Linked DNA regions of Caenorhabditis elegans. The gene in region 2 interacts genetically with the main gene of each other region. Each region holds a gene or a part of one and is shown on either strand. Other genes may lie near its edges.

Region 1 (4,667 bases), on a different chromosome or scaffold from region 2:
GTGTATATTACAAGTGTCTCTCTACATTTTATCAGTTGTTTCATCACTACTAGTACGGTAGCGTGGTGGCACAACTCGTAAAAACCTTATAGTTTTTACGATCTACTGAAAATGTATTTGGGGACTTTCTTGAAACATGCTAGTGCTGGTGATAACGGTAGGTATGGAGAGTTGGGGAAGTTTGGGGTAGAGGTTGGGGGGAGAGAATGAGAAATTATTAACAAAAAGAAAAACGATTATTTCCGGCAAATCGGAGCATTGCCGGAATAGAAATGGCCCGGCAAATCAGCAACCGGAAAATTGCCGATTTGCCGAAAATTTTCGGCAAATTGTGGTTTTGCACACACATTTTTTTTTGAAAATTTCAGAAATTCAATTTTTATCGGCAAATTTATACGCATCCTATGATCATCCTACATCTATTCTGAAAAGTAAGCAAATTCTATGCAAATATATAAAGAAAACGGGAAAAAATTCAAAAAGTCACAATGTTTCCGTCTTACTAAAAATCCCTCTAAAAACTTCTGGCAAATAGATGTTCGGCAAACTGCAAACCTGAAATTTGCCGAAATTCAAAATTTACGGCAAATCGGCAAGACGGTAAATTGCCTGAAACGAAAATTTTTGGCAAACCGGCAAACCGGCAACCGGCAAATTGCCGGAAATTAAAATTTTCGGCAAATCGGCAAACCGGCAATTTCCGCCCAGCCCTGATAAGGACATCTCAAAAAGAGGTTTCCAAATTCTTGACGCTATTTTTCGCCTGCTCCTTTTACAGTATTCTAAACTGCTTAGGCGGCTTCACGAAAACCCGCTAACTTTCACCCCAATCCCTCTTCAAATCTGCTGTACATATTTCAAAACTTGCACAGCTGTGTGCACTGTGCACTTTTCCATATTTATGAGTTGTGTCTCGAAATGGAGAGACCGACTAAAATGAAACGGGAAAAAAAGTGAATTCGAACGTTTCGTGGCAGGTGGTGGGCACGTGTAATCGGAACCGAGTAAAAGGGAATCGAAAGGAGTAGACAAAGGGCATATAAGAAATCTTTCAGTTCTTCTTTGGGTCACATGGTTTTAGGAGATTTTTTTCTTGTCTTGAATTTCATTAGATTAAAGTATTCGTTAGGTACAATAATGCTACACTTTCCAAGTTTCACCGCCGTACTTCGGGGCAGGTGCAGTATGTTGTTCCTCGACTTGTGAAATCCAAGTCTATGCAAAAACAAAAAAAAATCAACATAGACCACCTGCCGTGTTTTCCGATTACGGTATGAGTATGAGTTTTTAGGCCCCACCTCTGTTAATTAACTTTTTCCTATAGTATTTTTTTTTCTCAAAGTGTAGATTATTAGCAATGTGGCCGTGTAATTTTTATGGGTCTTCCCAAAATTTTTGGAGCCAGGTAATATTTAATTTTACAGCCGATGGGTTACTGTATTAACTAGGAAATGGTAGAAAAAGATTTTACGAATATTTTGTTAGTTGCCTATTTTTTAGTCGAAGAAAACCACAACTGAGATATAAGCTATAATCAAAGTTGAGAATAAAAATTAATCCAAGTAGATGTTTTAGGCATTTAATCTATAAAGAAATATATACTTTCCTTTCAGCTTCGCGAGGATCAAGCCAACTTCTTCAACGCAATGGATCAAACTGTTCTAGATTCGGCATTCAACTCTCCAGTGGACTCTGGAATAGCTGGAACCACCACTGGCTCCGGATCTACCACCCATTTTGGTGTTGGAACAAACTGTGAGGATTTGATTATTTCAAGAAACTGATCATAAAAAATAAAGTTAAAGTTTCAGTGAGATCATCAAGTCGGTCAACCGACGGCACTGACTCAACGGACGGTGCCAACTCGGACAATGTGACCGGATCAACTGGATCCACACCAGCACATCATTCGATCACTAATTTGAATATGGCTTTGTCGCAACACTCCATTGACTCGGCAACTGCTGCTTCATCGACAAACCCGTTTCCGCATTTTAATCAAGGTAGATTTATCAAAGCTTTTGTTTCGAAAATTTCATTTAAATTCAATTTCTGTATCTTCAAAGAATAGAAAATGCGATCAATTTTGATAGCAGAAAACTTAAAACTGAGATTGAGCCTGCGCCTATGCTTAAATCAAAGAACTGAACTTTAGACAAAGCCTAAGAAAAATCCCATGTCTAGGTCCAAATCCAAGCCTGAACCTGAGCCCAGGTCTTCCGAAGGTCGTCGGTAAGATATTATTTTAGACTCTAGTAGCCAATTACTTCATCTACCCGTACAAAAAGAAGATAAACTTTTATCGTACTTCTAAGTCAATATATTCCCGAGTGAGCCTAGTAAGCCTAGGCCCAAATCCAAGCCTAAGCCTGACCCTAAGACTAAGCCTAAGCATAAGCCTAAACCTAAACCAAAGTTCAAGCATATTCCTTAGCCTAAGCTTGAGCATAAGCCTTAGCCTAAGCCTAAGCCTAAGCCTATGCCTAAGCCTAGGCCTAAGCCTAAGTCTAAGTCTAAGCCTAAACTAAAGCCTGGGCCTAAGCCTGAGTCTAAGCCTAAACCTAACCCTAAAAAATGAAAAATTTTCTGCAGACTGCTCATGGAGCCCCGATTTATTTCCATTCACTTTTGATGGTGACTTTGAAAGTAATTTTCTACATTTTAAAAATCGTGTCATTTCTCTAAACCACGTGTCTTTCCCATTTTTATGTACCAGTTCAAACGTACCCCCAATGTACCTGACCATCCAGATTTTCGGCAAATCATAACTAATTCAATTCAATTTTCAGCGGATCTACTGAACTTCCATCAGAATTCTCTCCTGCCACATCATATGTTTTCACAATTTGGAAGATATCCACAGGTTTGCATAGGGAACACATTCAAACGAGGGTGAAAAAGAAACATTTTTGAAATCTAGTTAGAAATGCATTCGGGGGCTATGGACAGGGGACAGGGGGTGTTTTTTCGTAGAAGTGTTCCGCACTTTTTTCGAACTAGAAAACAATTTTGAAATTTTGAAACATTTTTAATTTCATTAGTTTTGTTTTGCCTAAACACGGAGAAAAAATTACTCAATTTTTTAATGAATGCATTTTAATAAATAATTTTTTTAAAAACGTCATGCTTGCCTTCTTACGTGCCTGCCTTGCAAGGTGCTTTTAAGTACATCCCAATAGATACGCAAGCTTGAGGCAGGCAGACAGGTACCTTTTTTATTGGAGTTTTTTGTTCAGAATATAGTTTTGAAAATAATTGAAATATTGCTTTAAATGATAGATAGGCTTACTTTAGGCTCATGCTTATGCTTAGGCTTAGGCTTAGGCTTAGTTTTAGGCTTAAGGTTAGGCTTTGGCTCAGGCTGAGGCTTAGGCTTAGTATTAGGTTTAGGCTGAGGCTTATTCTAAGGCTTAGGCTTAGCTTTTTGAATTTAAAGATATTTTGAGTCGGCTACAAAAGAAAAAAAGGATACAACTATTTTTCCAGAAAACGAAAAAATTTTGGTTTGTTTGCGCGGGAATTCAAATTCAATTTAGGCGTTTTTTTATCATAAAAAATTTTGAAATTGTTGGAATTTTTTACAAAATTTTTTTTCTTGTTCTAACAATTTAAGCAAAATTTAAAAATGACTGTATTCCACCTTTTTGCCGGAAATCTCTGAAAGCAAGTAGGCTTCGTTCAAAAATCTGTGCTCTAAAAAGCAAACAAAAAGTTTGAAAAGTTCAACGAGACCAAAAAGTGATCAAGCTCAAGCTTTTCCTCGACTTTTCCGCCGTGAATTTTCTCCATAAAAATTTAATTTGTTTTTATCCGGTCTCAATATGGTCTCTGTAGAAATGTGCACTTTTCGATCGTAAGCAGCCCCGCAAAAACTCCCTTTCGCAGCAGCAAGAGCTCGTACCGTTTTTGTGTGTGCTCTTCTTATGTCCGTCTGTTCTCTTTTTTCGTCTTTTTTTTGCAGGAAAAATGGTATTTGGGATAGAAGGAGGAGGAGGAGAAGGAAACAAATAGAAACAGAGACTGTTGTTTTTTCTCGAGAGAAAGAGCCCAAAATCTCCATCTCGTCCTTTTTTCGCGCGCCCGCGAACGTAGGTACACAGATCAAATTTTTGAAAGGCTGAAATTATTGTGAACAGTATTTTTGTGTTTAAAACCAGTATGGTTTAAAACTAAAAAATGAGCTCATTTTTTTGCGTGCGTCGACGTTTTTTCTTGTTGACCTAGTGGACGAAATGGAACGCGAAATTTGTGGAGATGAAAAGAGAGTGAGAAATGTAGGATTTTTGAGCAAGAGTGTGTGCTCTTTTCCCCTGATCTGTCTCTCTCATTTTTGTATGTTGAACTGTTTGATTGACAATTTTTGTTAAATGTTCCTTTTTTCAAATTTGATTTGAATTTTGAGGATTATTTTTCTGTTTTTTTTTGTTTTTTTGCTTAGGCCTATTCTTAGGCTTAGGCTTAGGCTTAGGCTTAGGCTTGGGCTTGGGCTTGGGCTTAGGCTTAAGCTAAGGCGTAGGCTTAGGCTTAAGCTTAGGCTTAGGCTTAGGCTTAGGTTTAGGCTTAGGCTTATGGTTAGGCTTAGGCTTAGGCTTTTGCTTACATTGAGTCTCTTACATAAATTCAACTGGATTTTTTCAAATCTTCACAAAATAACTAGAACACTCAAA
Region 2 (7,625 bases):
TTTCCGGATTAGAACCTAATTTCACCGTTAGGTAGATTTTTTTTCTTTAGACTCAAAATTTATTGAAAAATCAACAAAAAAAGCATCGAAAGAATTGCAAAATTCACGGATCGAGCTTTCAATTTCAACCGCAATTTTCTATCTTTATTTTTTTAATTTAAAAATGTTCAAATAGCAATTTTCCCTGTTTATAAAGAATTGATTTATAAATTTAAAATTAAATTTAAATTTTCAGTACCGTTGACCCTGTGCTCTCTACAATGGTAACTTGTGGCTTCTGTGTGCTAGTTGTAAACTATCGGGAGCCATTTATAGCAATTCCAGGAACCTGCTTTCCAAAGAATTGTGGTTCGGAATGTATTAATGATGTTCATGTAGAGAATCGTTCGTTTTTTTCCTCATTTTATGATTTTTTTTACAGGAAACTGTACTAGAAGTTCTCGAGAGACACGGAGCGCGGTTAGATGAAAAATATATTTACTTGTATGGATTTGAATTTGGATCTTTTGTGGCGTGTAGTCTGATTATCAAACATAAGGTGGGATATTACATCGACGCGAGATTCTGCGATTTTTGGTGAAAAATACAATACCCGGTTTCGACACGACATGTTTTCTTCAGAAATATTTTGAAAGTTTTATTGATAGATCCGTCAGTTTTGCGACATTATAGTTAAAAAAAAACAAAGTCTCTGATTTCGGTACTCCACCTTTAACTTTCAAAAAATGTCGTGTCGTTACCCCGATATTTTTCTATTTTTGGCACGAAAATCACAAAATTTAGCGTCTCATGGATTTTCATATTTTTTAATTCACTATTTTCAGAAATTCTATAAAGGATGTGCACTCGTACGGCCGATGCTCGAATTTCCATTCACAACGTGTGCAGTTGATACAGAAAACCCTGAAGCTGAATTTCTGAAAGACGTGGAGCCGGTCTCACATGCGTCTGAAATTGTTACTCCGATGTTGATTGTTCTGGAGAATAAAAGCGATACAAAGTACAAAGATTTTGAGTCTACAATTCACAATAATGGCGTTCCGTGTTTTGGAGAATACGAAGAAGAAGACGAACAAGTGAATGATTTCGTTGTGAAAGTCATTCAATTTTATAGAACACCATATGGAGAATACGAGAATGGTTCTAGAATTGAAACGCCGGTTCCTGATGATTAATTATTTATTTTTTCTTTCTTGAATTATTACTAACTTATATTGTTAATTCATTAAAAAAACGCCGATTAGAACAATGTCTACATCAGCTTTAATTCGTTGTTAAAATATGTTACAAATTGGAATTTCGCTCAGTTTTAAATTTTTTATGTGTCGTTATGCTCAGATATATATTTTCTTTTTTTGAAATCTCGAATAAAATTTGAATTTCGTTAAATATATAACTATCGTTAAAAATCCATTGAAATAATATTTGCAAATCGATAATCTTTTAGATTGTTCAGTAGAGCGCGTCTGCACACTCCTCACCCGATTTGAATCGGAGCATTTATTCTAAGTTTATTGACGTCTTCCTCGATAAAATGTGAGTTTCCCATCGAATAAATTATAAAATCGCAATGAAAATTATTTCAATTTAATTTCAGATGACATTAGTAGCTAGTTCCGAAAACACAGGGCTCTGTCCAATGACATTTGATGATAGTTCTGGGCAAACCAGTCATATGTGTAAGAGTTTTGTATTTAATTCAATCTTGGCTTGATAATTAAATTAACTTTTATTTTTCAGTGTTCCAACGATTACAATATCAACGAAAAACCGGCCGATTTTGTGATGTGGAAATTGTTGTTCAAAACAAATCATTTGCGGCTCATCGAAACATTTTAGCAGCTCACAGTCCATATTTTGACGCAATTTTCAAATATTGCAAAATCACAAAGGAACAGCTCACAATAAATAGCAAATCTCCACAAGTTTTCGAGTTATTCCTCAATTATATGTACAGTGGAACAGTGATTATCGATCGATCAAGTGTTTCGGAGCTATTGAGATTTGCAAATAATTTTCTGGTAATATTATTGATTTTTCGATCGACTATTCCTGCTATAATTCCGTTTTTTTCAGATAGTGAAGCTAAAAGTGTATTGTGCAGCTTATTTGGATCGATATCTAGACGCGGCCAATTGCTTATCAATACGAACGTTAGCTCAGAGATATAATCTACCAGGACTTGTGAAAGTAAGAATTTGAATTTTTAAAGCTTTAAAAGCGAGAAACTTCGAATTTCTTTTTTCAGTCTGCTACAGACTACTTTGACAGCAATCTTAATCGATGTTTACTGGAATCCAGAGATATAATTGGTTACACGTATACACAACTGACAAGACTCATTGGAGATCCGAAATACGTGGATTGTATTACTTCTGACACTTATTTAAAGTGAGTTTTTTCGTTCCAAAATGACTAAAACAGTAATTTTTTCAGATTAATAGTCCGCTGGGTCGGTGAAGAAGTATCGAAGCGAGAGGAAATCTTCCGATTACTACTAGAATCCTGCGAATTTCGAGAAGTTTCAGCTGACACACTGGAATTTCTTCTGGATTACTCGCCGTTGCTATCGAAAAGTCAGAAAAGTCGATTTTTGCTACTACATGTCATGTAAGTGGAGTTGTTAAAGTTTACAAAATTATTACTGATGAAATAATTTTTGTAGGGAAACAAATAACATGCTTATGGAAAAGTACTCGACTCAACTGAGCAGTCTTCGTCAGAAAATCGTTGATCTTCCGATTCTCCACGATCCATCTCAATTTGAAGATGATATTTATGATTCAAGTGATTCTGAAGAGGATCCAGATGATTATATAGCTGATGGACATCCAACATCTGCACAAGTTGTTGAATACGGAAATGATGTTAATAATCGACTGAAAATGAAGATTGCATTCCAGCCGGGAAATGAGAAGAAGCGGTTAGTGATTATATGAAAAAATTGATAAAATTCAATGGAAAATTTTAGATTAAAACGACCAAAAGGAATGAAAAAACATCATTTGCACCCAATTCCACCGATTAATGCGACGGAAAATGAAAGTGAGCTGGTTTTTTTTCTCAAAAAAAAAGGGATTTTGTGAAATTGTAAAATCAAAAATTGAAGAAATCTTCTGTCAAATTCCTTATCAATAAAATTTCCAGGTATTCCATGGATCGACGAAGACGAAATTGATGGTGTATATGCTACATGTTCATTGGAAGGATGTCATACCTATGGACCAGTTGACAATTTGGATCCAGATGATTGTGAAGATGAAGAAGATCAACCTGATGAGAATGGACCGTCCACTTGTATTTTCTGTGGACTGCGGACTGCAAATGAGGAGGTATTGACAAAAAATAAATCAATTAAAACCTTGAAAAAATGCGAAAAAAATATTATTTTTCTCAAATTTAAACCGTCAATATGATTTATTCTATTTTTAGACGTCAAAAAGGTCTCGACACACCGAACAATGGGCTACAGTAACCTGTTGTCGGTGTGGTGAGACCTGACCAGATTTTGGCGAAAATTTCATATTTTGGCGTTTATTTAATATACAAAACTCGACACGACGATTTTTGGCTACATCAAGAAAATTTACGCCTTTAAAGATTACTGTATTTTCAATCTGAGGAGTTTTTATCGATTATTTTTAGTTTTTCGATAAAATATATTTATTTATCAACCAAATATTCCGAAATTTAAATAGTTTTTAAAAAGCTTAAATTTTAGAAAAAAAAACTATGAAAAATCAACAAAAACACCGTACAGTAATCTTTAAAGGCGCATAATTGTTTTCGGTTCTAACGAAAATTTGTCGTGTCGAGACCAGGCTCGAAAATTGCAAATTTTTGTGTCTATATAATATATATCTTTAAAAATATTTTTTTAAAGAATTACAGCACAATTTGGAAACTTTCATGCATAATTTATTTTTTTAAAAATATTTTGATGTAAAGTTCCATATTTTGGGAAAATGTAAAAACAAACTCGTGTACGAACGATCTTCTGCTGGTTTTATGAGTTTTATGTTCCAAAAAACCAAAAAAAAAAAAAAACCAGAAAAGTGTTGTAAAATATTTCGATCGATTCTTCAACAATTTCCTCATATTTTCAGCTTCTCGAAAAGCACAAAGCTCGTCATCACAATCGCAATACGTATTATATGTGTCATTTATGTGAATTTGAAACCAATTGGAGCAAACAATTCTATCTTCATTGTGCTGAGCACTGGACAGAGATACCGTATCGATGTGAAACGTGTCCGTTCACTTCAAATGAGATACAAGAGTTTTTGACCCATAGGCTTCAGCATAGTGAGTTTTTACAAAAATTTTGGAAAAAAACGTACATTTTTTAATTTTGAAAAAAAAACTCTTTTTTTTTGAAACTACAAAAAAATTAAATGTATTTTCAGATAAATCGTTTCTTTTTCTGAAATTCACAATGTTTCTTGAAATATAAACCTATTTTCATTTAAAAAACCAAATTATGAAAATTAATTTTTGTAAAAAAATTGATCGATAATGTTTTTTTCATATTTTCAGAATTTACCAACAATATCAATTTAAATTTTTAATTAATCTCCAAAAAATCGAATGAATAGCTAAGCTTTCAATTTTCTGTTTTTTTTTTAAATTTACCATCAGACACACGTTGACTTTGCCGAAGGAAACACATTAAAACCGAAAAAAAACGGCTGAATAAAATTGTTTTCCAAAATTACTTTCTAAAAGAAACAAAAAAACCCTCTAAAATTGTCAAATTTTCAGCCGACGAGCGTTTCTTCAAATGCGGTGAATGTGCATGGAAAGGTCGAACTCGTTCTCAACTGTTTGCTCACGAACGAATGCATTCTGTACTCGATGATCGATCATTACACTGTGAAGAGTGTGGAAGAGGATTCCAACAGCATAGTACATTGGATCATCATGTTGCTAGTCATAATGATCCTAGGTAAGTTTTTACTATGAAATTTCGAGATCTGAAAGTTAATAATGTGCGAATTTGAAATAAAAAACCATGCAAGATCTGATTTTGAGGCAATTCCAATTTTGCTAGTAACGTTTGGAGGCAATAATAATAATTGTCTCAAAACCAAACAAGGCGACTTTTATTCAAATTCAGAATTTTCACAATTTCCATCAAATTCTTCCAAATTTCAGGCCTTATATCTGTGAGGATTGCGGTTTCGCCACCAAAACCGCCGATCATCTTTCCCTTCATCGTCGTCAACATACTGGAGACAATTTTAGCTGTCACATTGGTCAGTTTGTATTTCCTGTAACACCACGCATTGGAATACACTGAATGCCAGAATAGTTCCGTTATCACCTGCCAACCGATCCATCATTTGGATGACTTTTGCGCAGTTCACTTCTACTTTTTTCCAACCAAAAACCCCCCTCGCTGCGTCTCCTTATCACCCGTACTATTCCATTAATTTTCGTTTCTCCTTGGCGACACAGCGCCGCCTTTTCCGCACAAAAAATGGTCGAAAAAACGAAAGAAAACGGCGGCTGAAGATAGAAACAGTGGTTAGATCATCTGTGGATCATATCACTTTCACTTTTTTTTTCTGCCGAACACACACTGGGGTACTGTAGGTATTTGGTAATGGTTTTATCGTCGCGCTCGACATAAAATCATTTCGACGTGTTTCATTAGTTTTTGCGCTTTTGCAGAGAACTTTTCTCAGAGCTTCTTCTTCTCCAATGCAGGGCCTTTCCCAGCTCGCTTCACGCTGTGCGTAATTTTTTCGAGTTTTTAAACATGGAGTATTGTTTAAACAGCTATGGAGTTGATCTGAGCAATTTTTTGTTATTTTTCCTATAAAATGACATATTTAAAGATCCTGAAAACTACACTATAAAATGACATATTTAAAGATCCTGAAAACATTACTGTTAATTTTCAGCCGGTTGCGACTACTCGTCGACCAAAAAAAGCCAACTGGCGGCCCATCTCCGTACCCACATGGCGGTTCGCGCCCATCTCTGCAAGATCTGTGGCCGTGGATTCATCGAAAAATCACATCTGGTCCGTCACGAGAGGATTCATTTGGAGGAGAAGCCGTTCAAGTGTGATCAGTGTGAATATGCATCTAGTCGGCGTGATAAGCTTAAGGTTTTTGAGCATTTTAGATGATAATTTTTGATAATTTTCATAATTTTTAGGAGCACATCATCAAGCATCACAATTCGGAAGTGCTCACATTCCAAAAGACTCAACGAAGAAAGTATAAGAGACAGAGAATGTTGGCTGCCGCGAGCAATATTGTGAATAATCCGGATGCTCTGTTCCGTCCAATTACTTCTGATGATGCTGTTAGCAATTGGCAGGCTACTAATGACTTTTCGGTAGGTTTATTGAATTAACGAAGAGCCAAGCGACAGAATTTCTGAAATTTCGCCAATTTTTCCTTGTCGAAGCAGCTGAAATATAGTTTCTTTCAAACTATAACCCGTTATTGCATATATTTTCGGTACTAGATCTTGCTTAAATTCGCCGATTTAGGCACTATTAAAGTCAATAAGCATCCAATTTTGGTCATATTATGCCAATATTGATGATTTTTGGATGCCTATCGACTTTAAAAGTGCCTAAATCGGCGAATTTCAGCAAGATCTAGTACCGAAAATATGCAATAACGGGTTATAGTTTAATAGAAACTATATTTCAGCTGCTTCGACAAGGAAAAATTGATGGTTTTTGGGATTTTTGAAAAATCGGCCGTTTGGGGTTATACAAACTTAGAATCTAGAAATTTCTCATTTATCAATTTCCAGACGTACTCTCCGAATCCCAACGATTACGGTGGACCATCAACTTACGGCAACCCTTCATCTCCTCAGCGTGCCTTCTCAGTCGTTCATCCATCTCAACATCAACATCATGCCCAATCACCTGGCTGTATGTCTATGATGAATGTTCCATTACGGGACAATCATCATCAGATGCAGCGACAGGATTCACCGGGAGATTCTGTTGGAGGTGGTCAAGGAGGTGGTGGTGGTGGTGGACCTGAAGGATCAGACAATACACATGGAGTTTTGATGACACCTAACTTGGTGATGAGGTTTGTTACCTGTAAATTTTGCAAAAAGCAGTGCCGCATTAATTCTAAACATTATTTTCCAGATCTCCACATAACCGGAGTGCTGTCCAACCGCAATTCAACAATCTCTCCACAAACTCTGATCCACAACAACAGCAGCAACAACAGCAACTCCGTCCATTCTCACTTCCAACCTACGGACAAATGGATTTGGCTCAGGCGGCTCAACTCCAGCAACTTCAACAACAACTACAAGCAGCCGGGCTTCCACCGACTGGAACCCCGAATAATCAAGATAATTCCAATAATGCATGGAATCCGTGGAATGTACAATAATAAATATAGTCCTGAAACTGCCTAAAACCTCACTTTTGAAAAAACCCCTTTACTATCTTTGCCTTTTCTTGTAACATGTTTCAAATTGTTCTTAATGCCTTCATTTTGATATGTGTATGATCTCCTTGTTTAATGCCTAATTAGTCCTAAATGGTTTTTATGGTTATAAATAAATTTATGAAATTATAGATGACATTTTTAACTGAAACATTGTTTTATTTTTCTTCCAGACCACATAAAAGC
Region 3 (4,901 bases), 770 kb from region 2:
AGCCTTTGAACCTAAGCATTGGGACTTTAACTTTTGGAGCTAATAAACCCCTTTACCGGGAACACCACTAGGGACGTTCTGGGAACACCACTAGGGAGGTACCTAAATGTTAAGAACTAAGCCTAGAGGCAAACTTCATGGCCTTAGCTTACAAGCCTTGGGACCAGGGAGCCAAGCCTATAGATCTAAGCCTAGGGTCTTAAGTTTCGGACTCTAAATCTGAAATTCAAACTTACGAGAAATTGAGCAAAAAGTGTTGTCAATTTAAACCCTTTTTCAATTTAATCATCAATATTTGCCCCGACCTCTGGAAATATCACAATACCACCAATCCGGCGCCCCAACTCCTCCTTTATTTCTCAGTTAGCCCCCCCCCCCCTACTGTTTGCCGAGTAACAATTCTCTGCGTCTTGCAAATTCCCAAAACTTCATTGTACATACACATATCACTATCATAATCATCACACACTAATTATGAAAGAGAATAGGCGCCGCGCTTATCAGTTGGCGGCGGGAGGCCGAATTCTCCTTCGTCGCCTAAAAAGAGAGGGTTTTGTCGAATAGTTTTGTTTTATTTTCGTATTTTCTTTGCGTTGGTTGGAATTTAAAACAAACTTTTGATGGCGTCATTGTTGCTTTGGATCATTTCTTTGTCATGTTTTTGTGATGATAACCTGTGTTTGGGTTGAAAAAAAATCGACTTTTCCAGGTTTTTGTTGACTTAGAGACTTTGTGAGGTCTCACTTTTTGAAATTGATAGAGTGCCACTTCCAGACCCCCTAAAACTTCCAGCAAAGCCGCTGGGTAAAAATTCTACTCGGATCATAGAACGATAACATTTTCTTCAAGTTGTCTTTTTTGATCCATCCGTTTTCGCCATTTTTTTGTTTCTGAACCTCGGAAGCTTAAAAAATTCTAATTTTCCTGAAAACCCTGTTTCGAACGACCTAAGTAAGCTTCAAATGTCAGAAGTCCCTAGGTGCAGCTCCAGAAGGCTTAGGTTCTTAGGCTTAGCTTCCTAATTGTTCGCCCTCAAGGTAGGAATTTTTGGAATATTTTGTTCAGGACATCTAATAACACTTTTTGATTTTATTTAGATCACCTTAGATTGCATACTGCTCCATTGCCCGAACCTAGAAAAAAATCCTTGTCCGAACAAAGGCCTTAAATTGTTAAGCTAGCTTTATCTTTTGAATTTCTCAGATTTTTCAAAACCGAATTTTGATCTCCCTCATCTTTTAATCTTCTTCTAATCAAATCAAGCCCATCAAACTGTTCAAAAAAAAAGATCTCTGGCCACCTCCTCCGAATACAGTTTGTTGTGTTCTTCTTATTTTTCTCGACCTAATCTCTGATGTCTTAACTATATGGACCGTTACTATCTTGTAATTAGGATGGGGCCAATGATTTTGTTTAGGAGTTTAGTATTCTAGGATTCCAGCTACGCAGACAGCTAGCCACCCCCAACTGCCCTTAAGTAGCCTAATCGCCATTGTCTCGACAAGAACTTGGCAGGAGGTGGGGGACACAGTAATAAACGAAATGATCGGTGGTGGAGGCTGTGAGAGAAAGAGATAGGGGCGGGCGCGTGTGCGCCCGTGTGCCCCATCTCTCGCGCCTCTCGCTCGATCCTTTGGGGAGGGGCTGCTGTTGCTGGCGACGACCTCTTGATATGTCACATTGTGTCTGCCGCTCTCTCGCCTCGTCCTCTCGTATCACCTCGGTCTCCCGCGACCCCTTTGGGCGCCTCTCTCCCGACCCTTCCACTCGGTTTCTTCTCTTGTCTTTCGCTCTTTTCCCTCTCCCCCTTTCGAATTTTTTTCCTTTTTTTCTACCAACCAATATACCTTTTTATCGATTGATTTTTTTTTAATTCTCAGATCCCGATACTGAAAAAAAAAATCAGCGAATAAGAGCATTCATGATCCGCCAACTAAATTCACCAGGCGGTGGCGGCGGCCTCGGATTGAACAATCCGAGAGCCCAGCAGCCACCGGGTGCTCAACAGCAGCAGCAACCACAACAAGCCCAGCAACAGTTCTACGATGACGAGCCATATCAGGCTAACGCGTCGCAGTTTCGATTTGGCGCCGGCAAAAGTGTAAGGGCTAATAATTTTCTAGGTTCAGGTTTAGGCCAACGACATTTGGTCTTTACACCCTTCAAATAGCCCCGTTTCTTATCAGCTCTCTTTCCCCCCGCTTTTAGTTTCCTGCTCCGGGCACCCAACTTCCTTCCGGGACACTTGAGTAGCCTAACTCACCAGAACTTTGTCTTGAAATTCGCTCAAGATAAGACCCCCATCTGACGATTGATTGACCGGTCATGTGTGGTGACAATACACAAAAAGAGAAAAGAAACAAGAGAGCGAATGAGACTTGATTGTTTTGTAGTTTGTGGTTTCGGCGGTCCGTTTGGGCTTGACACAGGCTTCTAGTTTCAGTCCTATCAACGTTCTTTGAGCTGATATCAGTTTTGACCTACTTTATCAATTTACCAATCGCATTACCATTTTCATTGCGAGCCAAAACTCGCATTAAAAATTTACAAACCTCGCTTAAAATTGTACTTTGCTCTCTTCGCCCATTTTCTAAGCTTGATCCGATTTCAATTTCAAATCACAAATCGAATTTCAAACTCAGTTTTCTCATCTCTCGACGCCAATTGTCATCACTTTGGGGCCGGCGAGGCGGTGGCGACAGGGGCAGCTAATTTATCAAGTAACAGGGCTGCTCAGTTTTCTGATCGGCTTTGATTTCCCTATCTCCCAAATTAGAGAGATATAGACACAATGTTTTTGGCACACTGCCAACTTCCCGCCCGCCGCCGCCGCCAATATAGTAGTAGTAAACAAAGCAGAGCGCTCATGGTGCATCAACGACCGAAATTTAGTAGTTATCTTTCCATAATGATTTCTATCTCTTTTCTTATTTTGTATTTTGAGATGGAACAACGTCGAGAGACGGGAAATCTGATTCCAATCGCACAACGATCGATGGGCTCGACGTCGACACCGTTCGGCTCAGCGCCTACACAGAGCTACTTTGGCGGAGGGAGCAGTGGAGCGGCATTAAGTAGTCCAAGGAAGATGCAGCAGACGCATCAGATGTTGTTCGGCAATATTCAACCGGTTAGTTTCAAATTTTATTAAAAGAAAATTTTTGTTTTCTTACATTGTTTGAGCTCAAAGTCTCTACAGAAATAAAACAAAAAACGAAACAAAATACTGCATTCTAACATAATTTTTAACGATTTTATGGAAAGTTTAAAGGTAGTTTACAAGTTTTTTTTACCCAGCTCAATTAATAGTAAGAAAAAAAGCAGAATTTTTGGAATTTTTTTCTTATGAAAAAAAGTGGGCCTGAAAGGGCTCCCCGGTAACTAAATTGTTTTGTGGTTCTTTTTTTTTAATCTGTGTAAAAGTACCTTTTTCAAGAGTTGGGGTTTCTTGGCTCAAAATAAGCTTAAACCCTGCTCTTCTTCGCTTAAAGGCGTAGGCACACAATTAAATTGCTCGACATTATAGATCTTCAAACTTTACGTAAAAATTTCTTCCAACTTGCTCCCCTGAAACTGATATCTTTTCATTTTTCTTGTAGATCTCCCTTTTTTGGCATCTGTTGTTAGCCTAACGTCGTAGGGTCAAATTATAGAAGTTTGAATTTTTACAAAAAAATTGTTCTTGATTGGCTTTAACAATATGACCCCCCCCCCTGAGCCATGTATTTGTTTTCAAGCACTTTTGCGCCACGGCGCCCATTCCATATTTTTCCTTCCACATTCTGCGGTCTCTCCCACTCCCAGATGACTCCACCCTAGACGGAACAGCTGAAAAACGAAAAACGGGCGCTGAAAAAATCTTGCGTTTGGCACGTAGCCCCCCCCCCCCCCGGGTCTCTGTCTGCCTCTTGGACAGTGTCACGTGGTGTTCGGCTAGCTTCTCTCGGCGTCCGGTTGTTTTTACACTCTCCGATGGTCTCTGACGTGTGGTAGTGGTGGTGGATAGGACTGAGAAGACAATGAGATGTTTGAGTTGAACTTTCAAGTTGATTGGTTGGGTAGGGAGGGGGCTGTATGTGGACTAAAAGGTCGAATAGGACCCTAGCTATCAACAGCGCATCAAATAAAATTTGACTTTATGATACGAGTCTGTACCATTTGACTAGCTCATTACAAAAACCCACGAAGCTAACTCCAAGTTCCCGGTATTTCGTTTGAAACTTTTTTGCCAAACTTCGATGCTCGTAGAATTTATCCAAAACCAAATTTTCTGAGATTATTAATTTTTCAATGTTTAGGCCAAGCTTTTTGAAACTTTTTCTGAAAAAAGCAGAGTTTTTTTTTCGATTATTTCGAAATCCGTCGAATTTTTCATAATCGGATTTTCCCAGATTTATAACGCATTCTCAAAGCTTTTTGGAAATTTTTAGGACTTTTTCTCCCCATTTTGTCAGTGCATTTTCGCTAGTTTCAAGTCCCGTAGAATTTCTCCAAAACCAAATTTTGAGAGATTTTCAATGTTTTAAAGCATGAGGAAAACTAGGCAAATATTCTGGAAGCTTTTTGGAAAAAAAAACATCTTACAAAAAAAAATTGAAATTTCTCGGAACCTGGGATCTTTTTTTTTTCACAATCAGTACATTTTCCCCCTAATTTTGAAACCTGTAGAATTCAGGGAAAATCTGATTTTCATAGAATTCTAATGTATTTAAGAACGTTGAGAACTTAACTTTTTTCTAGAAATTTTTTCGACCATTAGAGTTTGTTTCCCAGGAATTCGAAACTTGTACAAATTTCGTTATCACTCTTTATTTGAACTATTTTTCTAAAATTGTGAAGTCCTAATTATTAGTGTTGTACGTTTGAATCCGGATTCGTTTTCGCATTGAGACCCAATTTAG

What was found.
Region 1: of eor-1 (region 2) and lin-29, changing one enhances a phenotype caused by changing the other (phenotypic enhancement), as found in Caenorhabditis elegans (one large-scale study listed by BioGRID).
Region 3: of eor-1 (region 2) and hlh-30, changing one enhances a phenotype caused by changing the other (phenotypic enhancement), as found in Caenorhabditis elegans (one large-scale study listed by BioGRID).

The regions. Positions count from the first base shown.
Region 1 is NC_003280.10:11,930,204-11,934,870, reverse strand, and holds the start of lin-29 (C2H2-type domain-containing protein), read left to right. Parts: upstream 1-1,646; coding exon 1,647-1,755; intron 1,756-1,805; coding exon 1,806-2,003; intron 2,004-2,789; coding exon 2,790-2,863; intron 2,864-4,667. UniProt on the Caenorhabditis elegans protein: Transcription factor which regulates the expression of various genes, including those involved in cuticle synthesis and maintenance, such as collagens, and in lipid metabolism.
Region 2 is NC_003282.8:4,793,149-4,800,773, reverse strand, and holds eor-1 (Zinc finger protein), read left to right. Parts: upstream 1-1,586; 5' UTR 1,587-1,597; coding exon 1,598-1,679; intron 1,680-1,740; coding exon 1,741-2,021; intron 2,022-2,076; coding exon 2,077-2,190; intron 2,191-2,248; coding exon 2,249-2,391; intron 2,392-2,436; coding exon 2,437-2,610; intron 2,611-2,665; coding exon 2,666-2,923; intron 2,924-2,971; coding exon 2,972-3,045; intron 3,046-3,147; coding exon 3,148-3,332; intron 3,333-4,106; coding exon 4,107-4,305; intron 4,306-4,361; exon of another isoform or gene 4,362-4,510; intron 4,511-4,761; coding exon 4,762-4,945; intron 4,946-5,154; coding exon 5,155-5,255; intron 5,256-5,906; coding exon 5,907-6,115; intron 6,116-6,165; coding exon 6,166-6,348; intron 6,349-6,777; coding exon 6,778-7,067; intron 7,068-7,129; coding exon 7,130-7,382; 3' UTR 7,383-7,580; downstream 7,581-7,625. Other genes in the region: dpf-7 (Dipeptidyl Peptidase Four (IV) family), read left to right, coding at 1-31, 236-374, 422-538, 825-1,175.
Region 3 is NC_003282.8:4,025,107-4,030,007, reverse strand, and holds the start of hlh-30 (Helix-loop-helix protein 30), read left to right. Parts: upstream 1-1,880; 5' UTR 1,881-1,921; coding exon 1,922-2,101; intron 2,102-2,196; exon of another isoform or gene 2,197-2,280; intron 2,281-2,944; coding exon 2,945-3,130; intron 3,131-4,901.